4 linked regions of the Alligator mississippiensis genome follow. The protein of the gene in region 2 binds, or shares a complex with, the protein of the main gene of each other region. Links are inferred from orthologs where the notes say so. Each region holds a gene or a part of one and is shown on either strand. Other genes may lie near its edges.

Evidence for each region.
Region 1: WDR5 (region 2) and YEATS2 share a complex: the UniProt entries of both Homo sapiens proteins name them as parts of the ADA2A-containing complex. The link is inferred for Alligator mississippiensis from reciprocal best matches to the Homo sapiens genes WDR5 and YEATS2.
Region 3: WDR5 (region 2) and CXXC1 share a complex: the UniProt entries of both Homo sapiens proteins name them as parts of the SET1 complex. The link is inferred for Alligator mississippiensis from reciprocal best matches to the Homo sapiens genes WDR5 and CXXC1.
Region 4: WDR5 (region 2) and KANSL3 share a complex: the UniProt entries of both Homo sapiens proteins name them as parts of the NSL complex. The link is inferred for Alligator mississippiensis from reciprocal best matches to the Homo sapiens genes WDR5 and KANSL3.

Annotation. Positions count from the first base shown.
Region 1 is NC_081830.1:41,937,591-41,945,245, reverse strand, and holds the start of YEATS2 (YEATS domain-containing protein 2), read right to left. Parts: upstream 3,005-7,655; 5' UTR 2,943-3,004; intron 1-2,942. UniProt on the Homo sapiens protein: Chromatin reader component of the ATAC complex, a complex with histone acetyltransferase activity on histones H3 and H4. YEATS2 specifically recognizes and binds histone H3 crotonylated at 'Lys-27' (H3K27cr).
Region 2 is NC_081835.1:61,654,651-61,661,771, forward strand, and holds the start of WDR5 (WD repeat-containing protein 5), read left to right. Parts: upstream 1-4,108; 5' UTR 4,109-4,199; coding exon 4,200-4,280; intron 4,281-5,689; coding exon 5,690-5,798; intron 5,799-7,121.
Region 3 is NC_081831.1:27,528,975-27,536,625, forward strand, and holds the start of CXXC1 (CXXC-type zinc finger protein 1), read right to left. Parts: upstream 3,009-7,651; coding exon 2,992-3,008; intron 2,760-2,991; coding exon 2,547-2,759; intron 2,073-2,546; coding exon 1,972-2,072; intron 1,544-1,971; coding exon 1,401-1,543; intron 1-1,400. Other genes in the region: synaptonemal complex central element protein 1, read right to left, coding at 6,060-6,136, 6,307-6,373, 6,647-6,710. UniProt on the Homo sapiens protein: Transcriptional activator that exhibits a unique DNA binding specificity for CpG unmethylated motifs with a preference for CpGG.
Region 4 is NC_081830.1:10,566,588-10,573,762, reverse strand, and holds the start of KANSL3 (KAT8 regulatory NSL complex subunit 3), read left to right. Parts: upstream 1-4,161; 5' UTR 4,162-4,245; intron 4,246-4,715; exon of another isoform or gene 4,716-4,719; 5' UTR 4,720-4,752; coding exon 4,753-4,967; intron 4,968-7,175. Other genes in the region: ARID5A (AT-rich interactive domain-containing protein 5A), read left to right, coding at 1-715. UniProt on the Homo sapiens protein: Non-catalytic component of the NSL histone acetyltransferase complex, a multiprotein complex that mediates histone H4 acetylation at 'Lys-5'- and 'Lys-8' (H4K5ac and H4K8ac) at transcription start sites and promotes transcription initiation.

The sequences.
Region 1 (7,655 bases), on a different chromosome or scaffold from region 2:
AGATGCCCGCTGGAAAGGCTCCGCTCTCTGCGGAGAGTCCCACTGCAGCCCTCGGGCTGTTCCCTCAGAGGCACCGGGTGTCGGCTACAGCCCGGGGCGGGGACGTGGCCTGGGCTGTGCCAGGGCTCCTGTGGGGCCCCAGGCTGGAGGGGCTCGTCCTGCTGCCCCCTCCCCCCCCTCCTCCCCGACTGGTCAGAGCTGGGGCGGGCAGGAGTCTGACCCCACGGTCGGACAGGGATGGACGGCAGGTGGGGGTTGCTTTCCTTCCTCACAGTGGCCACAAGTAGGGGGTGCACATGGGTGCACCCCCTATGAAAAGGCTGGTGGTGTCTGCAGGGGGTCAGCAATCGTGACTGGCCCCTGCCAGCGGTGTCTGTGGGTGGTCATCAACCCCTGGGCAGTGCTCACCACCTACAGCAGCATCTGCAGGAGCTCCCCACTTACTGCCGCGGGGCTCCCACCGCGGTGCCCCCCGCAGCGGGAGCATAGCCCTCTACCTGGGAGCTCCTGAGCACATACTGAGGTTTCAGGTGGGTAGGACACAGGGTGCCGTGGTTCCCTGCTTTACCTGTGGCAGGTTAGGGTATTAGGTCCGTGTTGCACCTCAGTTGGTTAGATGGAGAGTTTAGATTATGGTTGTATGGGATGGTTTGGACAGGGATGACCCTGCCTCAGGCAGGGGGTTGGACTAGATGACCTTCCAGCCCTGCTTCTTCAGGATTTTGCCTCATGGCTTTTCAAGTCTGAAACAGACCCAAAAAATAAACCAGCTCAGCCACTCCGTTCCTACACTTTGAGGCCTTATTTTGCCTCTTGCGCTGTTCTTTCCCCTTAGCTCTACCTTCAAGCAGTCCATGGCCGCCTGCTTATACTGAGGTTTTCCTGACCTGCATATGACTTTTTGCCCTGTACCACCACCCACCTCTATTGCTCCTACAGTTCATCACAAATGTACACGTTTTGAGTAGAGTTACCACAGAAAATAACACTTCCCTATTCTGGAGGTTACCTTGAAACTGAAGAAAGCATTTCTTTACTTGTTCTGCAAACATGTACAACATGAGTTTTAGGTCTTGAGAGACTGTTTCAGCGTGAAAGGGGAACAGAGGGATTGAGGTCATGGAGGTCAGCTGGTTAACTGATAGCAGGGGATTTTTTTCTCTAAGGATCAGCAACACAGTAGATTGGACTCCTATGGAACTTGGTATGTTTGACATAAGGTTGATAACTTATTTAAGGTTTTTTGTACAGGGGGAGGAGTTGGAATTGCCCAGTAGAATGAAGATATTTACTGAAAAAAATGTAGGTGGTGTACCCCAGAACTGACCAGAGTAGCTAGTCTATGGTCCTATACCACAAGCTCATCACAAAATGAAAATGTATACCTTTCCCCTTGCCCCATGCTGCACTTTGAAGACAGGAGGAGCTCCCACAAACATCTGCAAAACTGCTGCAAAAACTCTTCAGTCACAGCTGCAGTGCTGTGACTCCTCAGCAGAAAAGGAAAAGCCTCCTTCTATTACTTATGAGCCCCTTGTATGCCAGCAATATCCATTTGCTGTGCCCATGAGACAGGGCTCTCTTTATTCCATGTTTATGCTGTGCCTTGCATAATAGTGCCAAGATCTATGATTAAGGCACTACACCACACTATAAATATGAAGTAACTGACACAAGCTGTGTCCCTGCTGTATCTTTTAGCTTCCTAGCACATCTATTTATTCTGGTTTATGCTAGGAAAAATATTCATGTCATGGTGTACACACCAGATTAGATGCACTGAAATTTTCATTTTGGAATTTCATTGGGTTATGATTGATATCAGTGTTTCTGAAACAAAAATACATAAACAGACGGTTTACTAATTACCAGAGGTAATCTGGATCTGCTGCCCATAACTGAAGGCTTGTTTTGCATCATATCCACACCCTTATTTTAAAGTTTCTCACATGGATGTGGTGTACCATTATGGGAAAGGGGCACGCTTGAAAAAGACTGGTAAAGAGAAGTATTTTATACCAAGAATAATATCCTCCAAGATCAGATAAGTAAATTATATTATTATTAAAGAAAAAAACCTCAAAGCAATGTCAAATAATCTTGAGTTTCCAGTCAAGCAATATTTTTTTTCTTTTTTCCAGCATCAGAAATAGTAACCGAGAAGAGGCTAGATGAACACTCTTCTTAGAAGAGTACTCTTTCCTGCTATGGCAGGGGGTCGGACTTGATGATCTGCTCAAGTCCCTTCCGACCCTACCAACTATGAAACTATAAGAGCAGTGTGATCAAGGTACCACATAAAAAAAGCCACACAGGAAACAGTAGAACCTTGCAATTTCACACACTATAATCTGCAAAAGTCGCACTGTTAGCTTGCTACAGAAGCCATTTTCCTCATTGTTCCAGCGAGCTCATATTACAAAAATTCTTTCCTTGCAAAAACTACATATTTACTCAAATATGACAAGATCCCCCCCATCCGCATGCAAAAGAAACCTCTTGTCTTATATTACAAAGCAAGGGGGAGGGGAGGGGGCAGGCAGCTGCTGCAGCTCCGACTGGCCCTGAGCCTATGTCAGTCCCACAGCAGCTCCCTGCCCCCCTTCCGCTTCCTCTCTACTCCCCTTCTCCTCCCCTCACTCCCTTCCTTCCGCTATCAGGCATAGCTGGGCTCTGGCTGCAGCTGGGGTCTCTCCCAGGCACAGGGCACATAGAAAGTCTTTCCCCTGCCCAGCAGCACACATGCACTGCTGTGTTGCCTGCCTGGCCAATCAGCAGCACTGGTACTACTGCATGGCCAGGCAAGGGCTGAGCTTCCAAGCACTGTGGCCTCCATGGCTAAGTACAGACAGTCAAAAAGCCTGAGGCTGAATCGATTCAGTCTTTGCAGGTTAGTCTAAGATTCAGATATTAAATTGAAACACAAGTGAACAGACATTTACCTTTGATTCAGGAAGTGCCACATGCTTGTAGTGGCTCAGTCCAGAAGCCCAGAGCTACTAGAGCATGGCTGTCTGGCTGTGTGTTCACTTCCTTTTCCTGCTGCCCCCGAGGTCTCTGGGATTTGCAGTCCAAAATCAAAGCAGCAGGACTCTGCAGGGTGCTCATCACTTCCTCTTCATGCTTCCAGGTAACTCTGAGGTACTTGGGAGGGGAATTTCATCCCCCTCTCTGGCCCCAGGCCCCAGCTGGGGCTTGCCTGGGGAGGGGCAGTCCCATCCCCTCTGCAGACTAGGCTACAGCCCCAGCCAGGCTTCCCCCCACCCTCTTATATGGTGGCTATCATAGAAGACAGTCCAGATGTCCTCTGTCCTCTCTTGATACAAAACCAGACACCTGTATGTCCTCTATTTTTCTCTTGAAGAGAAAATAGAGGACAGGATGTAAAGGCGTCGGGTTTCGTATCAATAGAGGACAGGACAGAGTAGCAGAAAACCGGAATGTCCTCTATGATGGCCATCCTACCCTCTTATCAGCCAGCCCTCAGTGCTCCAGCTAGGGAATAGAGGGGCAAGGCTAGCCCTGCTTTCTGGAGCAGACAGCACAGCACAGCACAGCCCAGGGTGACAAAGCATTAGGGGGTACTGTGATTTAACTTGGAACCAGGAAGGGGTCTGGGACAGAAGTTTCATAAACTGGTTTGACCCAAATCAGTTAAGTCTGATGCTACATTCAACCAAGTTTATTTTAAACCAGTTTCAGCCACTTTGAAGCTGGTTTATATGCACTGAGCTTTTGTTCTGTTACAGGTTTGAACCAGTTTTTGATCACCTAAACTGGTTTATGTGCAACTTAAGTCCCTAGCCTGTGAACAGCCTGAGCAGTATCTGACAGTAAGGTGGGGAGAGAAGGAGGGGAAGACAGAGACTGCAGGGAAAGGCAATTTTTCCATATACTGTATAGAATCTAAGTATTGGGAGGCAGGGGGTCATCTTATATTCAGGGTCATCTTATTGTGAGTCACAATTATATGTTATATTCAGGGTCATATTATCTTCAGGGTCATATTATCTAATTTTGTGAGTAAATACGGTGCTTTGCCATATTTACTCTTTATAATGGTTCATAGCACACAAGACTAAAGCTGCAGTTGTCCAAAACAAAACAGGAAAGTCAGTTTTGTGATGTGATGTCACTATTTTCTCTCAATTATTCACTTAGTCCCAAGCTCCAATACCTATGCTCACATCAAATAGCACTTCAATCAACCAATGGTCCTATTGATTTGCTGAGTAAGATATTTGAATATAGGTATCTGAACTGGACTTTTCTTTCCTCATTTTCATTGGAGCTCAAGATCATTAGAAAGGTTCTGCTTTACCATGTTTACGACTTCAATCTTGCAAATCCTTACTCCTTTCATTGGCTTTAACATCCCTACTCAAACATGCAGCTTTTAGATTTGCTTTTGGTCTCCAGCCAACACTCAGATGATCAATCCCAATCCCAATGGGGACAACGCATATAAATGCCTGCAGATACAAGTCTTTAACATGCACTGTATTCATCAATAATAATGTCTCCATAATATTACATAGGCGACAGAGGGGGCAGGGGGGCACGTGCCTGCCCTGAGAGCACTGGTGCCTCCCCACAACAGCGAGCGCTTTGGCTGGTAGGAGGGCATGGAGCTGGCCACCGGGGGACCCCACCCCCGGTCGTGCCCCACTGGTCCCCCCGACTCGGGAGGCACCAATCGCCCATGTAATATTGTATGCACATCTTAATTCAGTTTAATTTTATTGCTATTCTTGCTTATAAATCAATGAAAAACAAACAAGGAGAAATAGCAGGAGCTTTTGAAATCTTGTGATCTTATTTTAAGAATAGCTCCCAGATGCCTTCAAAGGATTTTTGCTTTACGGTCTACAGACTACTCTTTCAGGTGAGATTACTTCTGCTAATACAGAAATTATTCTTGGCAAGTTGTAACTGGTTCCAGTCCTTTGAAAGGATTTGACTATCGCAAACAATTATATGGTGAAGCTGATGCAATACGAACACTGGTATTATGGCAAGTTTTAGGCTTCTATTATAAAACATTTTAAGAGAGACACTTTGTAGCTCAGGAGTGTTAGACTTGCATTGTCCCACAGGCTGGAGGAGAGGTGCAGGGCCACTCTGCAGGCCATGCCAGACCTACACATCAGTCCACATTCCAGTCCTGCTCCAACTGCTGCACATGGCAGTTGCACATGGTAGTTGCTCTATTGCTCTGCAGATGTGCAGGACCATGCAGCTCACCCTGCATGCCACCTATGGGTCACACCGAGACCCGTAGGCAGCACCAGGGACACCCCTGATATAGCTGAACAGCAGAATGCAGGCAACCCTTGCTTAATGTGGTTTTGTTATAGCGCTCATTTAAAATGCCTACCTAGATACACTCGGCGCTGAGTGAATTTCATTATAGCGTGGGCATGGGGAGAAGCAGTAGTGGCGGTGGCAGCAGTGAGGGAAGAGGCGAGTGGCAGCTGGCAGGAGCCCAGGAGCGGGGAGGAGCAGTAGCAGCGAGAAGGGAAGGGTGGGGGGCCAGGCAGTGTGAGCTTGGAGCCCAGGCCAGCAGGGTCCAGGAGCACAGGGTCCACTCCGGCATGTGGTGCTGGACCGGCCAGCGGGCGGGGAGGAACAGCGGCAGCAGCGAGAAAGGGTGGGTGGGGGACATGAGCGCAGGGCCTGGGCCAGCAGGGCAGCAGGAGCATGGGGCCCAAGGCCAGGGCTGGCAGGAGTGTAGAGCTTGAGCCAGTGCAAGCCAAGCCCACAGAGCTCCCCTGCACGCGAGCTGCAGTCCGTGCCCTGTTCCGCTCCAGTCATACCTGTGGGGTGCAGCGATCTGGTCATCTCCAGTCATACACTTGTCCCGAGCCTGCAGCGATCTGGTGGTGGCAGCTCGTCCAAGTGCCGGGTGCCCTGGAGGGAGCCCTCGCTGGTTAAAGTGGGGCGCAGACAGGTGGGTAGCCCCACTGCTTACCCTGCGCCAGAGCCCCGACTCAGGCCCAATGGCTGGGGCAGCTGGGGCTGTGCACAGGTGCACTGGTGGCCAGCAGGTGTGGTCCGGCAGGGGTCATTGCGGTGGGGGAACAATGAGGCCAGGAGGAGCTGATGCCTTCCCTAGCAGAGCCTGCATGATGTCTTGCCAGGAGCGGCCTGGCCAGGAACGTGGGGCCCAGGGTGGGGCTGCAGGAGCATTGGGTCTGGGTTGGCAGGTGGTGCAGTACCAATTATCTTTATTTACATTAAATCCTATGGGGAAATGGGTTCCGCTTAACGCTGTTTCACTAAGTGGGTGTTGCCTGTGCTTTGTTGTCCCACCATCATTATAAGACCAAGTTACACTATTATGGGCACATCCACACATGCAAGCACATGTGCTTGCAGCAGCTCAAATAGAAGCAGTACAAATTTGAGCCAAGGCTTTTTGCCTCAGCATACGTGCTTGGACATGAACTTTGTTGCGGAGCAAATTGTGCCATTTAAGGCAAAATAACCCTGCCTGGCTCCTCCTGGATTTGCAGCCAGGGGGAGCTAGAGCTCAGGGCCAGCACCTGTGCTGTCCCCAACAGTATGGCTGACCCACACAGCTCCACCCCCCACTCTCCCAGACTCCCACAGTGGCTGCCCTGCCTAGTCCCATCCCCCACACCCCCATGGCTGTCCCCCCCAGCCCCAGGCACCATCACTTTAAAAACAAAACAAGAAAAAAAAAAAAACAGACCCCCCCCCTTACCTTAGAAAAGTAGGGGCTGGGGGGGCTCTGGGGCCTCCTGGCAGAGCCCTCCTGGGCAGCACAGGGCAGGAGGGCCCCGGCTGGAGCTGTTCCTCTGCCCTGTGCTGTGGGGGCTGGGCCCCAGCGATAAAGACGGCAGCTGGACTGCCAGTAAGGCCCCGGGGGGGGGCGGAGGGATTTGGTGTGGGGATCCAGGAGGAGGGCTTAGGTCAGGCAAGGCTGGGAGGGCTGAGAGAGCAGGTGGGGCCAGCAGGGGTCCCCCCATAGTCCCCTCCCCCCTCCTCCAGCCCCCCCAACCCCTTACTTACAGCATTGGAGCCCTGGTGCTGCGCTGTCTGGCAGGCCGCATGGTTCAGCACCAGGGCAAGGGGCAAACCATAGAGACGCTCTGGCAGCCAGAGCATCTCCGTGGAGGACCCAGCCTCCGGTTGCCTCAGGGCAGAGTCTGGGACCATGCCCTGCCCTGCTTTTGTAAACTTTGGTTTTTTTAGACCCCAGGATCTAATTTTCTCCCTGCACTTGTTCCCGCACGTGCCTCTTGCCCCATCTCAAACAGGTTTGAGATGGGTCAAGAGGCGTGTATGGGCTCATCTGGACGCGCCTTATGAAGCCAATAGGAATATATCAGTTTTCTCCAGTGTAAGTTGAATCAGCCCCCTTGTTCAATATGGGGTCAGAACAGTAGCAGCCAGAAGCCATTTAAATCATTCCTATAGCAAATTTAAATGTCCTGTTATGAAATCTACAATAATCTCCTGCATGTTGTATTAGCTTTCGCCACACCTCATTGAGGACATTTTTATACATGCAAGAACCTCAGTGCCAGGTGCTCTGAAAAGCACCAAGCGCTGTTGCTTACAATTATATAAGTGGCAAAATGCACATCAGTGCTGAGAAAATGGCAGTAGCATGCTTTTGAACTAACATG
Region 2 (7,121 bases):
TTGACCCATATGTTTGGTGTAGCATCCCCAAACTCTTCCAGGAGCTTGTGGGCTTCATGCATAAATGATTTATGACTTTTAAGCCTCCTCTATATGGGTTTTTAGTTAACAGTTGATGAGGCAGGTGGTTTTCATTTGAAACAAGCCGTCAGGGAGACACTGAAGATAATTGCTAAAGAAGGCCAGAGTGGGCTGTAGGACGCCAACACAGTCGCCAGATGCAAACGGGACCCAGTTGAGCAACGGTTTGGACTGGGCAGGCGCATTTTGCACGCCTGGTTACAGTCATGGGAACAGGTCTGGAGACTCCTGGCCTCCTATCGATGCACAGGCCAGATCCAGCAAGGCCCAGAGCAGCACGTGCACGGCCCCACAGCTTGCCACAAGGCTGGGTCCGGTGAGGGCTGTCCTCCCTGGGCTCGGCGGCTTCCCCTGTTCTGCTTAGGCCAGGCCCGTGCCAGGCGCCAGCTGGGGAAGATGTATCCTCAGGACGCAGGCGGGCCGGGCCAAGCCCTGCACAAGCCCGGAGATGGGAGTGCGGACGCGCGGTTGTGCGGCGCGAACTGTGTAATGGGTTTTTAGTGTGGTTTGAGCTGCCAAGTGAACCACACGGGTCACATGGCAGTGTTGGAGGTGGGGGTTATATCTATCTGTCTATCTATCTATCTGTCTATCGATAGATACATCTCTATCAATAGCTATATATCTATATCTATCTATCTAAATATCTATTGGTATCTATTCATAGGTATATATTTATCTATCGATACCTATCTATCTATGCATATCTACATATATCACCATATTCATAGGTATATATTTATCTATCTATCTATCTAAGTATATCTCTATATATCTATCACTAACTATTCATAGGTATATATTTATATATCTATATCTATCTATGCATATCTCTATCTATCACTATTCATAAGTATATATTTATCTATCTATATCTATCTATCTATCTATGCATATCTACATATATCACCATATTCATAGGTATATATTTATCTATCTATATCTATCCATCTATGCATATCTATATCTATCACTATCTGTTCATCGGTATATATTTATCTATCGATCTATATCTAGATAGGTCGGTCTAGATAGATATTTATATCTATCTATAAAAATACATATTTTTGCAAAAAGTCAAGTAAACCCCCCTGCCCAGCCCCAGTGGGAGCCACATTCCTGCCCCACAGGCCCCTGAGGGGCTCATGGGGGAGCCCGGCTGCCCTCTATGAGAGCACTTCTGGGGCTGACACTCCCCGCCTCCCCTGCGAGGGGAAGGGAGGAGAAGGAGTGAAAAAAAAAGCAAAAAAAAAAAAAAAGGGGGCGCCTGTCTCTTTAAGGCGTTGCCGGCGCGCTTGCCTTTTCTGTCCCTTTCCCCGCGCCGTCCGCGGCCGGCAGCGAGCGGCATTGTGCGGCCCCCCGCGCTCCGCACTGCGCAGGCGCCGCCTCCCCTTCCCCTCCCCCGCCTGGCGGCCGCGAGAGCCGCCGCGCCCCCCCCGGCCCCGCGCCCCCCCCTCCCCCACCGGTGAGTGTCGTGTGTGCCCCCCCTCCCCCCCTTCGCGTGTCTCCCGTCCCGCCGCCGCCCGCGGGGGCGGGGGAAGAGCCCGGGCCCGGGGAGGGAGGCGGCGTGTCCTCGTGGGAGCCGCCGTCCGGGCGGTTGGGGGGCCTGTTTTGACCCTTTGACTCCCGCCCTTCCCCCGTCGGGTTGGGGGGTGTTGTAGTTCCCCCCGCAGGGAGCGCCGGCGGCTCCGGGGGGCCGGGCCCACGTGCGGCACACGGCACCTGGGTCGGACACCCCCCCCCCCCCCGTGCGACCCATCAGCACGTCTGTTACCCGCTGTGTCGTGAGACACACACGTGCGTGTGTCTGTGTGCGTGTGGCGGGGGGGCTGGAGGTTGGGCTGAAAAATTAATGTGCTGGGGGGGACTGGTGGAGGTATGGTTTTGCACTGGGGGGATGGGAGCTGGTTTGGTTTTGTACTGGGGACCAGTGGAGGTGTGGTTTTGCACTGGGGGGACTGGTGGTGGTATAGTTTTTTACTGGGGAGATGGAGGTGGTATGGTTTTGTGCTGGGGGGACTGGAGGTGGTATGGTTTTGTGCTGGGGGGACTGGAGGTGGTATGGTTTTGCACTGGGGGGACTGGTGGAGGTATGGTTTTGCGCTGAGGGGACTGGTGGAGGGGTATGGTTTTGTACTGGGGAGACTGGAGGTGGTATGGTTTTGCACTGGGTAGGGACTGGTGGAGGTCTGGTTTTGCGCTGGGGGGACTGGTGGAGGTATGGTTTTGCGCTGGGGGGAATGGAGGTGGTATAGTTTTTTACTGGGGGGACTGGTGGAGGTCTGGTTTTGCGCTGGGGGGACTGGTGGAGGTCTGGTTTTGCGCTGGGGGGACTGGTGGAGGTCTGGTTTTGCGCTGGGGGGACTGGAGGAGGTATAGTTTTTTATTGGGGGGACTGGTGGAGGTATGGTTTTGCGCTGAGGGGACTGGTGGAGGTATAGTTTTTTATTGGGGGGACTGGTGGAGGTATGGTTTTGCGCTGGGGAGACTGGTGGAGGTATGGTTTTGTACTGGGGAGACTGGAGGTGGTATGGTTTTGCGCTGAGGGGACTGGTGGAGGTATGGTTTTGCACTGGGGAGACTGGAGGTGGTATGGTTTTGCACTGGGTAGGGACTGGTGGAGGTCTGGTTTTGCGCTGGGGGGACTGGAGGTGGTATGGTTTTGTACTGGGGGACTGGTGGAGGTATAGTTTTGTACTGGGGAGACTGGAGGTGGTTTGGTTTTGCGCTGGGGGGAATGGAGGTGGTATAGTTTTTTACTGGGGAGACTGGTGGAGGTCTGGTTTTGCGCTGGAGGGACTGGAGGAGGTATAGTTTTGGGCTGGGCGGGGACTGGAGGAGGGAGGCATGGTTTTAAATCGACAACGCAAGCTGTTCAAGTTCGGGCACCGCTGGTCCGCAAGGGTCCGATTGACACGCTCCCGTAACGGATGCCGTTTTCATCCAAGAATGGGTCCCCCGTCCCTTTTTGACCCGTGTGTGCTGAGCAGAAATGCCCAAAGCCAGTCGATCCTCGTGAGCGCACCCAGCGTGGATGCAGAAGTAGGTTTAGACATGGTACGTAGGGAGCCTTGAGGCTGGAAAGGTCGAGTGTCGCTGCCCTGGGCGGTGAACGAAGCAAATGGAGCTTGTTGTCGTCCTGCAGAGGAGTTCAGGTCCCCAGCAATGTCCGGGGTGGTTTCTTGCCTCCTCTGATGCAACAAAACCCTCGTGTCTGCCGGTGCTTCTTGTCCTGTTGCTGATACAGGCGTGAGAAATAACCCTTTCCCCACCACCGCAACCCCTGTCATCCAAATGATACAGTCCAAAAAAGCCATCCCAGGCACTCTTGTCCTTGTGCGGTGTAGACCCCATCTTCAGGAGGTGTCGTGTTTACGACCTCCCCTTTTGCCAGGGCGGGGCTGGCCGACCTGTGACGAGCGGCGTGGGGCTAGGCAATGTGATGGCAGGGAGCAGAAAGCCGAGCAGCAGGTCAGACAGAGTTGCACAGGGTGGGGAGCAGAAAGCGAAGCAGCGGATGAATCGGAGGAAGAGGATTATAGTGGCATTTGGGGAGGGTGTGGGGCTGGTTTCCTAAAAGGTTGGACACCACTGTGCTACCGATTTAGCAGTCCCGGTGTAAATGCAGCAGTCGGTTTCACGGATCAGTGATACAAAGAAAAAGAATACGTTTCTGCAGCTGGGGAAAAAAAGAGCGTCAACACCATCCGGGTAGCACAAGGCTTGATGGATCAGTTTCCTTTATGAGAAGGGAAGTAGGGCGTGCTGTTGTATGCTGTACAAATGTATGGGCATGAAGGCATAAACACCCTGTTGCGTTGGTGCGCATTTGTTTGTCTCCGTCTGCAGCATTCGTCTCTCGGATACTAGTTGGAATCGTAAGATGCTCTTTGCATCGGTTTTCCTGGGGGTGGGGATTACGGTCATTATGCGCTCGTGAATGATGCTTTTCTAGGTGCTGAAACAGTGTTCTTTTGTGGTTAACGGTAGTGTTGAATTTTCTCCTAGGTTTGAGATCCCAGTTCTGTTCTCCTGTCAGTGGGAAAGGCTCCCTTTTGAAGCAGCACATTCATTCATCCCTTCAAGCACCATAGGTCTGACTTGCCAGCTTCAGAACCATGGCAACAGAAGAAAAGAAACCAGACGCAGAATCCACCAAAACACAGTCGACTCCTTCCTCTTCAACCAATCAGAGCAAGGTGTGTGTAGGTCTCTGAACAATATCCTGAGTCTGTAAATACACATGGGAGCTACCTATGGTTTTTTTTTTTTTACAAGCAAACTGGGATGAGGGATTTTAAGGAAAAGTTGAATTCTGAAGGAATTCCTCGGGAATTTTTCTGGGTTTGTATAGGGCCAAGAACATGCTGAAGGCTTTGGGGGCAAGACTGACTATGAGATTCCTGGATTTACCCTGAAGAGCTATAATTTTGTTTTGTCCGTATAACGTAACCTCTGCCTTGCATCACTTGAGTCCATTATGGTATCCTGAATTTTTGCAAGCAGTGAGAAAATTAGAGAACATGTTACAGAGCATGCTTTATCGTTGCAAGTGTCATTTGACCTTAATTCAAACGCTTCAGGGAATTACATGTAGCATAGTATATCTTGTAATTGTTGTAAAATGGTAGTGAGAGAGACTTATGAGTAATGTCACAATCCTCTCTGAGAAATAAAGATGTCAGGATTTCTTGAAATACTTAATGGAGTTGCCAGCTATCCAACAGGGATCCAGAAGGCCCGTCAGATGTTTGGTTTCTGTAACTGCTTCTGCTGCTAGTGACAGTTAACACAATCATTGCAAGAGGTCTGTCATCCCAGTGTCTGGGTGTTTTTGCTGAAATGATCACCAGCCAAAAAGGTAACACTGGTATGTAAAGATGACTTGCCAAGGAGAAAAATGGCCTTGTGCTCCTCCTATCTTATGATCATAGAGTCCGAAGGTCTTCTGTACCCATGGAGGACTGTAAGGAGATTAGAAAACTGATCAATTTGTGATATTTCAATGGAAGGGGGATGGAAATAAATAAAAAAATCACCTGTATTCAGGCATGGAAAAATTTGATTGTTGTGGGAAGAGGATGTCCTCATTAAGGATTAACTCCCTTTTCCCTCCTCCATTCCTTCAAGGCGTGAAGCTTGCAGTGCCCATCTGAAATCCTGCTCTCTGAGGAGTCCTTCAGCAGCACTAGAAAAAGTCAGGTGTCTTGCTGAGGTTTAAGGAGATGCAAATGGTCACAACCCTAATTTTTAAAAGCGTTTGGCAGGTCACTTGTAAATCCTGTATGGAGTGTGGCTCAGCTCACGCTTGTGGGCCAACTTTCTGCCTGTGTGGCTGACTTGGATAGATTTGCATCTCAGATAAATTTAACTAGTTGTTTTGAGGATGTTTCTCTGTAGGTCCAGTAAAGCAGCGCTGAGCCAGATAATGTAAAAAATATGTTCCCCTGTAAATACAGGGCTACGCCTTTTTTTAATAGATAAATCCAGACCGCTGTCAGTGATCATGCTGTACATCCCTGTGTCCTGGCTTGTTAGATATCCCAGTTAGAACTGAAACATTGAATTAAGTATCTACTTGACTTATTTGAACAAATCTTTCTTGCAGCCTGCACCTGTAAAACCAAACTATGCTCTAAAGTTCACGTTAGCAGGACACACTAAGGCCGTCTCGTCAGTAAAGTTTAGTCCAAATGGAGAGTGGCTAGCCAGTTCCTGTAAGTATCAGTCTGTCTTAATGCTTTCCTGTTGTCTGAATTGGCCAAATGTGGATCTGGCATGTTAGACAGCTTGCTGACCGTATCTTAGTGCTACCATGATCAGAGGGAGGGAGAAAACAATCGTCTAGCTCTTTAAGCTGAGTAAATGACAAAACACGACCTGCTTAGTATTGCGTGTGTGTCATGGTGTATTATATCCTGGATTGCCTCTGCCCATTGCCAGACCAAAAGGGCTTGGGATGCTCCTCTTACACTGCTGCAGAAACACAGCCAGGATAACACACACAGATTGTGGATAAATGTGAAATTAACTGCAGTACAGAGAGGATCTCATCCAGCCCTCCCCGTTACTTAAGTTCCAGCTTATGCCTTTAAATTGGGCCTTGCTTGGCTTGATGCACATGCTGTCTGGCAGTGAATTTCACTGATCATTATTCTTTGTCTTCCTGTATTGGAACGGTAATAGGAAAGAGCCTTGGAGAGTCGAGTCATCTCCATTGCACTTTGTTACTTATAAGAGAGGAAGAGGCAAGAGGGACTTTGAAGGGAGGAATTTAGCGAGCTTTTGCCCAGAACTCTAAACCTAAGCAGTAGATCAAGTTCTCTTCGTGCCAGCCTTTGATAATGGTGAAATCTCTCTGGTAAACTTGCAAATGCCTGACAACTTCCCTCTGGAACAAAAGGTGCATGCCTGGGAAAGAGAGGAGAGGGGCAACTCGGAGGAATGCTGTTGAACACGCAGATGGCCACTGTAAGCCCCACACCCTCCAGAAATGGCAACGGTTCTGGTCTGTTACTTGATCGTGCTTGCCTTTATATGGGCAGCAAACTGCAAAGAAATTAATTTCTTACATTTTTTGTGATACCTTTTTAAAAAGGTCATTTCTCACTCCCACCCCAGACATTCCTCCTGCTTTAACATCTGGCAAATATCAAGCTTTTTCTCTGCTGTGGATCGCAAGCTAATGTGATGATGAATAGCGTGTTTTGTTTCTCACAGCTATTAGTCAGCCCAGTTTCTGGATTGGTTTTTGATCTTCCTGGGGCGTAAGCATTTCAGTGGCCCTTGTGGGGATGGTAGCTTTTTCTGATGAGCAGTGTAATTTTAAAAAAGCAGAAGCCAAAGTCTCCACTGGAGAAATTAGAACCGTTTGAGACCCTTTACATTGCAGTCACCGTGTCTGATCTTAGCTCCTGCAGTCTGGCATACGTGAAACTGTGTCATTAGCATTTACATTTTGCCTTCTGTACCGAAATCTGTGCTTGAGGGTAAAAACTATTTGGTGTCTCCAAACAACTATCCAATATGCTGCTTTCTGC
Region 3 (7,651 bases), on a different chromosome or scaffold from region 2:
CCAATCTGATGCAAAATAAGGGAGCATGCAGAGACCCGACCCTAGGATTTACCCTTAACTCTGTCCACCAATCAAGTGAAAGAGAAGGGAGCCAATCAGAGATGCTGACCAAGGTCTGCCCTTAACGCTGCCTGCCAATTAGGAATGAGATAAGGGAGCCAGAGAAGCTGGCCAGGGTTTGCCCTTAACGCTGCCTGATGTTCAGATGTGAAATAAGGTACCAGAGACTGAAACCCCACAGTTTACCCTTAACTGTGCTGACCAATTACATGAGGAATAATGGGCCAGAGACACTGGCCAGGGCTTACCCTTAACTCCACCAATGGAGTGACACATAAGGGACCGTTTAAAGAGGCTGGCCAAGGCTTGCCCTTAACTTTGGCTTGTTATCTCACATCCGATTGGTGGGCAGAGTTAAAGGTAAATCCCAGGGTTGGCCGAGTGGTCCCTTATCTTGACTCTGATTGGGCTAAATTAAGGGTAAGCCCTGGACAGTGTTGTTGATTCCTTTATCTCACATCTGATTGGTGGCAGAGTTAAGGGAAAACCATGGGGGTGGCTCTCTGATTGTCCACCAACTGAACGAGATAATGAAACCAATCAATCAATTAGAGAGGCCAGCAAAGGTTTACCCTTACTCTACCCAGCAATCAGACATGAGATAAGGAAATTAGAGTCACTAGCCAGGGATTAACCATAACTGTCCAACCAATAACAAAATAAGGGCCCAAACAGAGAGCCATCCCCAAGGCTTACCCTTAACTCTGCCCACCAATATGATGCCAGACAAGAGGACCAATCAGAGACCCAAGCCCAGGATTTACCCTTAACGCTGGCCAATTACCGCATATCCACTCAGAAAGGCTGGCCAGAGCTTCTCCTTGACTCTGCCCACAAATTAGATGGGACCAGAGACCCAAGCCCAGGGTTTACCCTTAAATCCACTCAATCACATGACAGCTAAAGGGACCAATCGGAGGCTGACCAGGGCTCACTCTACCTCTGTCCACTAACCAGATGCCAGATAAGGCAGCCAATCAAGGACACAACCTCAGTTTCCCCCTTAACTCTGCCCACCAGTCCAATGCCAGATAAGGCAATGAATCAAAGAGTCAATGCCAGGGCTTACCCTTAGCTTTTATGTAGTTGAGGAGAGTGAAGTTAAGGGCTGGCCAGGGCTTACCCCCTTAACTCCACCCACCAACCAGGGCCTGGATGGCAGTTGGAGCCAGTTGTTGGTTCCTGTCCAGACATGGAACGGGGGGGGGGGGGGGGGGGGGGGGTGGGGGGGGGGGGGGGCAGAAAGTTCCATAGCAAGCACCTAGAAGATGCTGTGAGGTCATTCCCTGCCTGACCTCACCTCCACAGGCCAGGCTGCACCTCTAGCCCTGCCCCCTCACCTTGGATCCACGGGCCTGGTCTATGCCCAGCTCCTGGGCCTTCTTACGCAGATCATCCTTATCAGGTCGGTCACGCTCATGGTCCCTCTCCTTCTCCTTTGACTTCTTGTGACGGTACCGGATCTCCAGTGATGGATCCTTCTCTAGGGAGAAAAAGAGACCCAGCAGTCTGGGCCGGCCCTCGCTGCTCTGCTCCACCCAGCTCCCCCAGAGAGAGCCCAGGCATCAAGCTCCTAGCACCTCCTGCTCTAACACTCCCAGCCCTCACTCTCCTCTCAGAGAACAAAAAAGCATCTGGGCTTCCAGCAGCCAATATTCTCAAGGGCCAGGCCCAACTCTCCTCCTCTACCTGGGGAGAACCCAGGCCTCTGGCTTTCAGCCCTACCTACTCTCACCCTCCAGTTCCCAGTCACCTCCTAGAGAATCCAGGTGTCTAGGCGCCAAGGCCCCTTACCCCACTACTCTCACTCCCCCCGCCCAAAAGAATCCAGGCATCCAGTTCCCAACCCCCCTGGTCTAACCCACGAGCCCCCACTGCCCTCCCAACGAACCCAGGCATCCAGTCCCTCACCACGGCACTGTAGGCAGTACCACTCCCGAATGGCCTTGGCCATCTTCTCCGTGATATTGATGCAGTCACCATGGAACCACTCATTGCAGTTGTCACACCCACTATGGGGGGGCGGGGAAATAGAGGAGCAGGAGGTGAGACCCTGCCAAGGCCATGCCCCCCACCCCAAATCCCTGGCCCCATCCTAATCCTTGGTTTACACCCAACCCCACAGTCTTCCTGCAATGGCACAGACCCCAACCCCATAGTCTATCCTTGTGGAACAGGCTGACCCCCCCCCCGCCCATTTCCAACATCTCTGGCCCAATCCTATGGCTCCAGCCCTGCCCCCCACCCCCACCAGCCAAGGGCACAAGCCCCACCTCCATGGCTCAGGCCCCGCCCCCAAAGCCCACCTCTGGGCAACAGGCTCCCCTCAAAGCAGAGATTGCCCCCAATCCTCATGCTCCCCCCACACACAGGCTCAGACCCCGTCCCCACCCTCACGGCCCTCCTCCTTTCACTCAGACCCTGTCCCCAGGCTCAAGGTCCGCTCCCTACTGCCCCACGTGGCTCAGGCCCCGCCCCCCGCGCACATCATGAAGCAGTTGATGTCGGGCTTGCGGCAGATGCAGTAAACGGCGCGTTTCTCCCCATTTTCCGAGCGCGTCTCCTCGCTCGCCCCGGCCGGCTCCGCGTCCGAGAACTCGCTGTCCTGGGGGCGAGGCAGGGTCAGGGAACCCCGGTGTCCAGGATTCCCCTGCTCCGACCCCCCGCCCCCGAGAACCCAGATGTCCGACACACCCCTCCTCTCAAGAACTCAGGCGCACGGTCTCCTAGCGCCCCCCTTCACGGGAATCCAGGTGTCCGAGATGCCCCCCCAACTCCCAGAAAACCCAGGCATCCAAGCCCCAGCCCTTCCCCCCACCCACACAACACAGGTGTCCGGGACCCCTCACCATAGCTGCCGCTGAGGGTCCCTTGTTTTGCGAGGAACCAACAAAACAAGGGACTCGAAAGAATCTCTGACTTCCGCGGTACTTCCGCTTCCGGGTCATCCTGCCTGCCTCGAACCCCTCCACTGATCATCACCCAGCGCCTAGTCGCTCCTCTGCCCTCTTCAAACATGGCCGAGGTCTAAGAGCGGCGAAGGGACCGGACTCAAGGTGGCCGAGGGTGCCCGCCTTCAAAATGGCCCCTCCTTCCAGCAGAAGCGCTCCGCTTCTCCACCCGCACCAAACATGGCCGCCACCGCTTCTACTATGTGGCCGTCTGACTTATGACACTGCGGTGTGGCCATCTTTGATTGTGTCAAGTACCAGACACGTTGAATCGAACGCCACCCAACGGATTGGACGGATTGAGTCAAAGAAAGAATGATTTGAGGGAGAGATGGATTCAGAGGTGTCTACAGGGAAGGATAGATGGATGGGTAAATAGAGGGAGGGATAGAACGGGTGTAGCGATGGAGAGATGGATCGGGGTTGAGTATGGGAATGGATGGAGATATGGGGTATATATGGGGAAGGACAGATGGCTAGAGATGCAAAGGTATGGGGGGAGGGGCATGTTTAGGGATTGATGAAGAGATGGTTCCAGGCACGGCTGTCCTTAGGCAGCGGGCAAGCTGGGGCAGCCACCCCCAACCCGGCACTTTGGGACCCCCACAGAACTGGGCAGAGCGGCCACGGCAACTGAGTGCTGCTGCTGCCGGCTTCATGTCTGGCTGCTCGGAAATCCCCGACCCCCCAAATCCACCACCAGCTTCTTTGGGTCTAGGGCGTGCAGGGGCAGGGCCCTGCACAGGCTGCACCCTGCTTGGGTCATCTCTGGTTCCAGGGATATGATGTGGATGAAGGGAGGGATGGATATGGATCTAAAGGAGTGTATGGGGATGGATGCTCAACCCCCACTCCCCTCCCTAAGAACCCAGGTGTCCAAGCTCCCAACCCTGCCAGCTCTCCCTCCCCAGTACCACCACTCCCCTCCCAGAGCAGGAAGAGAACCCAGGTGTCAGGGCTATCCACCCTTCCCATTCCTGCCCCCAACAGCAGTGAGAAGATGCTGGGTGGGTGATGGCTTTATTGGTACCAAGCTGGAGGGAGGACGAATGCCCAGACAATAGGGGTTCACTCCAACATAGGGTGCCATCCTGGTGTCACGCAGCCACCTTCTGGTCCCTGGTGCCAGCTGTGGGCAGATTGGGGGGGGGGGGGGGGGGGGGGGGGGACAAGCAGGGTACAGGCACCCAGCTCAATGGGGGCCCAGCACTGGACTTGCCCTCCTTGGTGGTCTGCGACAGAGAAGGTCCTGCCCCCCACAGTTCCATCCACCTGCACCCTCATCCATCCATCCCTCCCTCCCTCCCTCCCCATGCACACCCGTGTCCAGGCATCCCCTCATCCCATACATACTCCTGTGTCCATCCCTCCCTGTCCATCCCTATACATACTCTTGTGTATCCATCCATCCATCCCTCTTCCTCCCTCCCCTCATCCCCCACTCATCCATACCTTCCAAACATCACCCCCCCACATCCATCCCTCTACACCCCATCCATCCCCATACACACCCTGTATCCATCCCTCCCTCTCTATATCCATATAAAACACCCCTATAGCCTTCTATCCATCAATCCCTATACACACACACACACCTGTATCCATCCATCTGTCCTTGTACACACACCTGTAACCATCCCTCTACCTGCCCTATAAACATCATTCCTCCATTCCCCCCCATACACACCCTTGTATCCTTCCCTCCATCACCTCATCCACCCATCCATCCCTATACACATCCCCCCACCCTATGCCTCCATCTCTCTGCCCATCCCCATACACATCTTGGATCTACTCTTCCATCCCCACCCTAATCCTCAGCCCACATGCCTGCTGGTGCTGCTCCTCCACCCCTGGCCCTCCAGCTCCACCTTCAGCCTGGAAGGAGGAGGGGGGCGAGTATTAGAGAATGCATCCACCTCTGGAGAGGAGCCAATCCCACCTCACCCCACCCTAGCTGGGATGCGGCAAGAGAGGCTGCCAGGCTTGGCCACCAGGGCTGCAGCCTGATCTTGCCAGGAGACCCCAGCTCTCACAGCTGGAAGGGAACCCAGGTGTCCAGCTGCCCAGGCCCCTCTGCTCTCCGACTCCCCTCCTAAAACTCAGACAGAACACCGGTGGCATCTGGGCTCCAGCCCCAGGTCTCCAACCCACCAAGCCTACACTCCTTTCCTGGAGCTAGGGAGAACCCAGGTGTCCCAGCTCCAAGTCCCCCTGCTCAAACCTACCAGGCTCAACTTCCCTCCCAGAGCTGAAAAGGACCCAGGCACCTTCCAGCCCCATTCTAACTTTCCAGGTCACACTCCCCTCCCAGAACTGGACAGAACCCAGGCATCCCTCACGGTTGCATCGCTGCAGCCCCTGGCAGTGGCGTTGGGTGGCAACCTCCAACTGGGAATGGGCACCTTGGTTCTCCTGCTGCAGCAGCTGTCTGGGGAAGGGCAGAGGGTGAGCACCAGACATCCTCCCACCCCACGCCAGGGTGCCACATCTGGCATTGTATATGGGGGGCCGGAACTGCCTTCTAGTCAAGCCACAGAGCAGAACCTAGGCATCCAGACCACCTGCTTTCAACCCCAAGCTCACACACCCATCCCAGAGAAGCCAGATGTCCTGGCTCCCAGTCCCCGCTGTTCTCACCCACAACCCCCACTCCCCTCCCAGAGAACCCAAGCATTCGGGCTCCTAGTCCCCCCTTCTCTCACTGCCCAGTGAACCTAGGCATCCAGGCTCCCATCCCCTGCCCATTCCCAGCCCCCACTTCTGCCTCCAAGATGCAGTGGGAATCAAGGAGTCCTGGCTCCTACCCTCCCTGTAAAACACAAGACTCCACACCCAGTCAAAGACAGAATCCAGGTGTCTGGGATCTAGGCTGGGGGGCAAAATGACCCTCAACCTTCCCACTTCTGATACCTATTGGGAGAGAACCCAAGCATCTGGGCTCCCAGACCCACCTGCTCTAATCCCGCCAGTCCCTCTTCTCTCCCAGGGAACCCAGGCACTCACAGGGCAGCACTGGCCTCCGGGCTCTTCAGGAACCTCCTCTCTTCACGGCGCCAGCCCCAGCCTGGGCCAGCACATACAACTTTGCTTCAACTGCATCAGCTTGGCCTGGATCAGTTCATCTGGGCCAGTGGGGAGGGTGTCACAGGACATGCCAGGTGCTGTACAGACCCCCCCCAGCTGGTATCAGGGGTACCATGCACTGTACAGACACCCCAGGCCAGGATCAGGAGGCATCAAGTGCTGTACAGACCCCTCAGGCCAACATCATGCCAAGTGCCCCTTTGCTCACCTTCTCTCAGCAGCCGCTCCCAGCTGTCTGACATGTTCTGGATCTCAACAGCTAGCTTATCCATGGTCTGAGGAGAGGGGGAATTAATTAACTCTGGGTTAATTACCCAGGGAACTCACGTGACTGACTCCCTGTCTTCTCAGAATGGGGAGAGAACCCAGGTGTCCAGGCTTCCAGCACCCTGTTCTAACCTACCAGACCCCACTCTATTCCCAAAGCTGTTAGAGAACCCAGGTGTCCTGGCTCCCAACCAACTAACTGGGCCTCACTCCCTTCCTGGTGCTGGGAGAAAATCCAGGCATCCGGGCTCCCCATGAGGAGACCCTCCCATGTCTCTTACATGCCCTTCCTGCAGGGTCTTGTGCTTCTCCATCAGTTCATCCAGCTGCTGCTCAAACTCCAGCCTGAAAGCAGAAGAGGGGGTGGCTGTGGGGTACAGGAATTGTACCCAGCCACGGCCAGAGATGCCCTGGAGTGTGTGGTATGGCAGGAAGTGAGGGGTCAGCTGGGTGGGGGCACACACATACATGCACATACACTCAGAACCTAGGTGTCTGGGTCACACACGTGTGCACATGCACAAAATGAGCCCAAGGCATCCAAGCATATCACATACACACACACTGACCCAGGTATCTGTGTCTCACATACACATGCAGAACCCAGGCATCTGGGTCACAAACACATACACAAATGAATCCAGGTCAAATACACACACAACTGAGGTGTCTGTGACACACAGAGAACCCAGGCATCTGGGTCACATGCACTCACACAGGACCCAAGGATCTGGGTGTCTCACACACACACACAAATGAACCCAGGTGTCCAGGTCTCTCTCTCTCTCCGTCTCATATACACACACGCATGATCCACATGTTCAGGTCACACACACACACACGCACGCACAGAACCCAGGCACCTGAGTCTCTCTCTCATGCACACACACTAGACTCAAGCACCTGCCACACGTGCGTGCGTGCGCGCACACACACACACACCCCCCGCCACTCATGCAGAAAAGACCCAGGCATCTGGGTCTCTCTCTCACATGCACACACAAATAAACCCAGTGTCCAGGTTTATCACACATACACATGCATGCACAAGCCAGGCATCCAGGTCACACACACACACACACACACACACCCACCCACCCCCAGGCATCTGGGACATACCCATGTGTGCACTCACACACTGAAGTGTGTGTAGGAATGCAAGACTGACTAGAGCTGGGACAGAACCCAGGCATCCAAGCTTCCAGCTCTAACCCACCCATCCCAAGTGCACTCCCAGAGCCGAATAGTACACGTGTCCTGGCTCCCAGCCCCTCTGCTCTAACCCA
Region 4 (7,175 bases), on a different chromosome or scaffold from region 2:
GCTGAAGCCTATGAGTTGCCGCCCACTCCGGGCCCCTGCCGGCTTCCCTGATGCCTCCTTCCTCTGCCAGCCTCCCAGCAAGGACCCACCCCTGTCTGACCACCCACGGGGGGAGCTCAGAGAGCCCCTGGAGGGGACGGGCTTCCGGCAAGGCAGCAAGGCTTTGGCCTTCCCTGCCAGCAAAGCCTGTTGGGTGGCTCCCATAACCAGCTTGGCTAGAGTCAGCCCTCAGCCATCCAAGCCTGGGCAGAGCCCGGGGCTGGGCAAACGTGGGCCAGAAGATGGCAGCTTTGGCCCTGGGAAGAAGCTGAGGGCCGTGTCCCCGTTTGTCAGGGAGGCAGAGCCGCGGGAGGCTTCGCCTGGCCTAGCCAAGCCACAGGCCGTGGCACCTGGCTTTCCCACACTGCTGCCACCACCCGGCCCAGATGCCTACACAGGGACGATGCTGAGGTTTCCACTGAGCTTGGCTGGCTCCAGGGAATCATCGCCACTCACACCATCCCTCAGTCCCTTTGTCATCCCAGCCTTCCCAGGCCCTGTGATCACTGCCTCTGCCCAGGCCTCTGAGCTGTGCCGGCCACTGGCGACCAGCCTGGCACACTACCCCACATCGTATGACAGCTCACAGCGGCACCGCCTCTATCCTGTCGCCACATGGCACAGCCAGCCTGCCTATGCCTCCCCCCACGGCTTCCACCGCCCCACCAAGCTGTAGCCTCTGGCCAAGACATTCTGGGCCAGGACATAGGGGCTTGGTGTGATGTACCAGGCCACCTGGGAACATGTGATCCACCCACATAGGATCCACCATAGCTACGGATCCCACAGTCACGTGACAAAGGGCCAAGGGAAAGCATCACATGATCCGGACCTTGGGACCATGGAACTGTTGGGATCTGATGCTGTCCCCCTTGACAGGGCTCGTGTAGCAATGTGTTATGGGAAGGGGCTTTATATAAAGTCAGAGCATGTTGGAGGGGTCTCACAATCGTGCTGTGGACTTCGGTGATAAACCTGCCTGAGAGGAAGAGAGCCCCTGGGGTCTCCTGGCTCTTGGGAGCCGGTGCAGGGCAGGGGAGGGGAAGGGAAGGGGACCTGTGGCTAAATCAAGTGGAGTTGGGTATGCAAGTGTGTCTGAGTAAGCATGTGTGCGACACTGGTGAGTATGACTGTTTGAGTGTGAGATGGACTGAATGTGTACGTGTCTGTACGAGTGCACATTGTGTGACTGCGTGCTTGTCAGTGTGTGATACACTGAATATGTGTGTGTGCATGATGGACTGAATGCGGGTGTGTCTGCATATATGATAGTACATGCAAGTGTGTGATGGACTGAATGTGTCTGTGTCTGTGTGACTGTTTATGAGCATGTGATGGAGCGAACGTGCATGTGACTGCAAGGGTAGGATTGTGCATATGTATTGTGTGCATGACTGCATGTTTGAGTGTGATGGATTGAATATGCATGTATCTGTATGACTGCATGTTTGTGAGGGTGTGACAGACTGAATGTGTGGGTCTCTGTGCATGCGTGTCTGTGTGTGTGACAGGGTCAGGAACAGGCCCTTTCAAAGGAGGCGGGCGCTCCTATATCATATTGTCTGCAATATAATACACCTTGGTTTTGAAAGGCAGAGCAAAGAATAAAAGATTTTTTCTTGTACCGAGTACTGGAGTAGCAGCAACCAGGGATCCCGGCCTGCTCTGTGTTCTGCTTCTTGGGGATTGCAGCAGGTTTGGCGCTTAGTTTCACCTACCAAATGGCAGCCCTGTGCCCATGTTTCCCGCCTATTCCATGCACCCAGTTTCTAGGGGAAGGGAAAAATCCAGTGCTGCTGAGAGATTGCTACAAGTGATCAACTTTTGGGGCAGGTGTGGCCCATATTAAGCCCTGCCTCTTTCTGCTCTGGCCCTGCCCCCCCAGTAGGCTTCATGTCACAAGGGTGCAGGACTGGATACTACCATGGCTTTTGGTTCTGACAGGATCCCTTTGAGGATATGCCCATCAGGGACCTGGGCAACTAGCAGACAGTGTTAGCTCAAGAGGTGATGTGGTCCTACCACTTTTTTGCCTTGGCTTTCAGCCCATGGGTCTCCTTCTGGTCCTCTGGCATCCCACAGTGCTCTGTGCTCTCTTGTTCCAAGGGGTGTGGAGGGTGAGTAGTCACTAGGGGCCAGTGGCACAGTGCCATGAATGAGGCTTTCCTCTGTTCCTGGGAGACTGCTAAGTGTCCCGCCTTGTGGGGAAAGGCTGAAAAAACGGGGGTGATGTAGCTTGGGGAAATGAAGAGTGAGGCCAATTTGATCACCTTCAAACCCCTGAAGGATGACGACAGAGAAGATGGAGGTGGGCCGCAAGGGACAGGACTAGGAACCATGGCCTCGAGCTGCAGCAGGGGAAACTGAGGCTGGAGATGAGGCACTTTCTGACTACTGGGATCCAGCCTTGGAATGGGCTGCTGGGGGGGGAAATTTCCATTCCCCAGACGTTTTCAAGTGCAGGTTGGATGGACACTTGGATGAACTGCTTTAGGGAAGGCTGATTCTGCCTACAGCAGGGGGCTGGACTGGATGGGACCTTGTAAGGCCCCTTCCAGCCTGATCTTTTTCTAGGTCCCTACTGCATATAAACAGCTAAGGCATGTCTCAGCTGTCCACAATGGCCTTCTGGGACATGGCAAGGGGTTCTGGATGGGAGGAGAGCAGTGGGTGTGCTAGAGCTTGACTCGAGCAAGTGTGGTCAGAGTTAGACTCACAGGGCAGCCAGGCTGGACCAGCCCCATCCAACCCCTGCTGACACGTCCTTGTCTGAGCTGTTCCTAACACCACACAACACTCCAGGGACCTTGAGAGCCCCCGGCTGTGTCCCAGGTGAATCCAGGAGAGGGCTGGTGGTACCCTGCTGCTGCTGGGTGGCTTCAGTGCCCTTGAGAGACCTCAGGCAGAGACTATGCCCTTGCTGCAGAGGAAGCCAAGCCCCCCCCTCCCCCCCCCCCCCCTTTGTACCTGTGTGACTTGGTGCAGGGGTGGGCAAGATTTCTGACCTCAATGTTGCATCAATGAGACCCTGAGTGGAGGGGCAAGACCTAGCCGGAACCCTCTAGATTTGAGTCCCAGCAGAAGTACAGGCCCAGCCCAGTCACCTTCCCAGCAGAGCCCTGGGAAACGCCAAGACCCTCCCTGTATTTGCTGGGGGGACAATGCTCTTGCCCAGGCAGCCATGCAGAGCTGCCCTTGGCCACGAGGTGGCATCATGCCTCCGTGTACCCGCCCCCTGGTGGCCATGGGCAGGGCAGCTGTTGCTTCCGTGGCAGTAGCAGGGGACCAGGGGGGATCAGGGTGACAAGTTGAAGTGGGGGTGGAAGATGGGCCAGCCTGGGAGGGGGTGGCACTCGGGAGGGATTAGGGCCAGTTTGAGCAGGTGCCACTGACTCCAGCGTGGCCACGAGCTGGCAGTGCTGCGATTTGGGGGCTCTGGGGGCATCATCTCCAGGCAAGACCCTCTAGCTAGGACCCTCCAGCATTGAGTCCCAGCGAGAGCTTTGGCCAAGCCCAGTTGCCCTCCCCAGCCTGGGCCACAGCCAAGGCCCACCCAGTGCTGCTGAGGAAGAGGGAAACCCGCCATCCCTGTAGCAACAGAAGAGAGGAAAATGCCTTCCCCACCTGACATTCATAGATTCATAGATGTTAGGGTCGGAAGGGACCTCAATAGATCATCGAGTCCGACCCCCTGCATAGGCAGGAAAGAGTGCTGGGTCTAGAGGAAAGAGTGCTGGGTCTAGACATGGTGACTAGCAAGACCCAGAAGCCTGGGACACTCTCCCTCCATTGCTGGGGGACCTTGTATGCACCAGGCAGCCCCGGTGCTGTCCCGCCAAACCAGGGGCGGGCTGGGCTTTCACAGAAGGACCTGGAGCTGGCTGCCAGGGGTGGCATTTGGACATCTGGGCCTGGGTCTTGTGGGTGCTGCTGGGCCAGGCTGGGGTGGGCGCAGGCAGAGCCACGCCGCTGCCCTGGGCACTAGGTGGCAGCTCTCGTTCCCCTGCTGGCCCCGGCCCCGGCCCCGCCGCGCTCCAGGCTCCGCTCCGTGGATCCCACACTCCGGGCTTTTTGGTCGGCGCATGCGTAGCAGGCAGGAGACTCCGCTCCGGGAATTCCTCGTTCCGGGCTTTGCGGCCGGCCGGGCAGTGGCGCGTGCGCAGTAGGCGGCAAGCCCAGGCCCGAGGCGGCCGCGGGCCTTGGGCTGTGAGTAGGGTCTGACCCGGGCCGGGGCCGGGGGTCAGGGGTCACGAGGGACTGGGAGTAGGGAGCAGTGGGGAGGGCGCTGGGGTCATGGGATGCGGGGCTCATGGCTGCTGGGGCACGGGGGTGGCAGGGATCGGAGGGCCCTGGGGACAGGAGGAGCTGGGTCATGGAGACCCTTGTGGGGGAGGGGTGCTGGGGCCAGGGACGTAGCGGGGAGCAGTTTGGTGCTGTGGGCAGGGGTCACCAGCGCTGAGGGCAGGAGGTATTGGGTATGGGTATGGGTCTGGCTGGCGGAGTCAGGGTCATCATGGCGGTGGGGACGGGCCGTGGGCCACTGGGTGCTGGGAACTCCTGGGCAGCAGGGACACAGGGCGCTGCTGGGGTCTCTAGGGCCACAGGTGAAAGGGGAGAAGGGGCCAGAGCACCAGGCCCATTTCCCTGTCTGTTGCTCACCCCCTGCCTCTCCTAAGTCAGGCAGCAGGATGCGGGGCTGAAGCCCACAAAGATATGTGGGGCCGAGCCACTGAGCGCGACTTCCAGACGTCAGCCCACAGGATGGGGACCTCTCTGCTCTTCCAGCTCTCTGTCCATGAGCGTGAACTGGACCTGGTCTTCTTGGACCACAGCTACGCCAAGCCATGGACCGCCCACCCCGACGCCAGCAGTGCCCGACCCACCCGCACACTTTTTGTCACACCGCGACGGCACCAGGACGCTGCCATGTAAGCCCAGGCCTACTCCAGGCTGGGGGACACTTTCCCAGCAGGCATAAATACCCCTGTGGTTTCTGGGGCAGGGCATTGGCCAGGCCTTCATCTCCTCTGCCACTACCAAGGAGTCCTTGGTGCTTCTGGTTTTGTGTAGTTGTGGGGCGTTTAGCCGAAGAAGACAAGGCTGAGGAGTTCTCAGATATCTGAAGCGTCATTCTGCAGCAGATGGGGGTAAATTGTTCTCTGTGGCCGCAGGGACAGAGCAAAGAGCAATTATCTTAAATTATGGTAGGGGACATTGAGGTTGGAGATAAGGAACTTTCTGACCACAAGGGGGTCTGTCTCCGGAACAGGCTGCCCAGAGAGGCAAGGAATCTCAGCTCATGGTCCCCCTACTTTACCTGGAGCTGGTTCAGGTGTGATGTCTTGTGTGGTGTCAAGGTTGACAGCAGTTTTATGAAGAGTTTAGATCATAGATTTGTTGAGGATGGTTTGGACAGGGCTGATCCTGCCTCAGGCTGGGGGTTGGACTAAGTATGATATCCAGAGGTCCCTTTTAGCCCAACTGCTCTGTAAGTTCTATGATCTGTTGTAATGGGATAGTTTAGTAAGGCCTATTTGTTGTACTGAAGGGATGGTCAACCAAGACCTGCCAAAGAAAACTATGAGCCTCCCTCCATGAAGGAGGCCACTGAGGACACAATAGCTAATTACAGGGGGCAAAAAATGAAGAAGCAGAGGTGGGAGTGAAGTCGTAGCTTATTAATGAGGGATCTAAAAGGGGCCGCTAAGCAGAGGACACCAGCCAGTGGTCACTGCCCCCCAGGTGAGTCTCAGGAGCCTGGGATGCCTACCTGGCTGGGGTCGAGCCTGGTTTTCTTCCTGCCCAGGCAGGGGGTCGGACCTGAAGATCTGCATGGTCTCTTCTGACCGTACTTCTATGATTCTATGAAAGGGCTTGGGTGTGAAGGACCCATTGTCTTCGGGGGCGGGGGGGTTTGCCCTGTACAGGGCGTTGCCCTGTAGCCTGAACAGAGCAAAAAATTAGGAAAGCAATTTTTGTATTAAAGATACAGTGAGGGTGACATAGCCACTATGGTCCAAAATTATGTGAGAAACAAGGATTTCTTAGGGTGATGGCTTTTGTTGCACCAGTGATGTGCTCGACACCCAAAAGAGGTGCCTCACAATTTACAGGTCTCTCTGCAATTCTTTCCCTTCTCTTTGTTACACCTGACATCTAAAGCTAAGTAATTGGGAGAGAGCACCCTTAAGAGATCGAAGAAAAACATGAGAACAAAGCTCTAAGAATCGGTATGGAATGCAGTGGCTCTCAACCGTGTTGGACTCCAGGTTCCCTTTGGATCATCTTTCACTTGCTTCTCAACTTCAGAAAAGTACTAGAGCAATTCTTCCATTGCAGAGAACTTAGAATAGCCACAGCAGAGCAGGCAGGTTTGGACACACTGGATTCCTACTGGAAGTCTTTGGGTTTCTCTTGGCGGTCACATGGAGGTGTTTGCTCACCTGACCATGCTAATAGTGCCCTGCACCCTTAAAAGGAAAGCACAGGCCCCTGGTTGAGAAGCACTGGAACATGCGTAAGAGCCAAGCCTCCCTCCTCCTTAGTAGATTTCAATCTCATTGTAAAAGAGATCTTTACAAATCTGGGTTCTTCAAGTTACGTGTGTTTGAACGAGGTCTCTGGTAGCTGAGCTTGGAACAGGTGAATCAGCCTGTTCGATTTTACTGCCTCTTTCTAGTCAGTGTCTGTCACTGGCTTCTCCTGGGTTACCTATGCAATGGGCAGTTGCTTCCCACAGGGGAAGGGATCTTTTTGGTGTGGATCCCTTTGTTCTAGGACTCATGATTCTCCCTGTCTCATTTGCCTTTATTGTTTAGCTTCTGTTCTCTCCGTTACTCTCTAACCTTTACCTCTCTGGCATATGGGAGATTGGTGTGTGGGGATTAAAACAAAATCTGAGAGACAGTATTTTGTCAATGAAGGGTGTTTCAGTTGGGTTCTGCAGGGGTCAGTACTAGACTTGGAGTAATATAAGGATAATACTTTGGTTTTTGATATATTTATCACCCAATAAATTCAGATGAGAAAGTAAGGACGGCTTTTTGGTAGCAAGGGCCAGTAAGTACTATATCACTTACTTCCCTGGGGAAGTTTGCTGGATCCTCTGTGTCATCAGACCAGATCAGTTGCCTTGT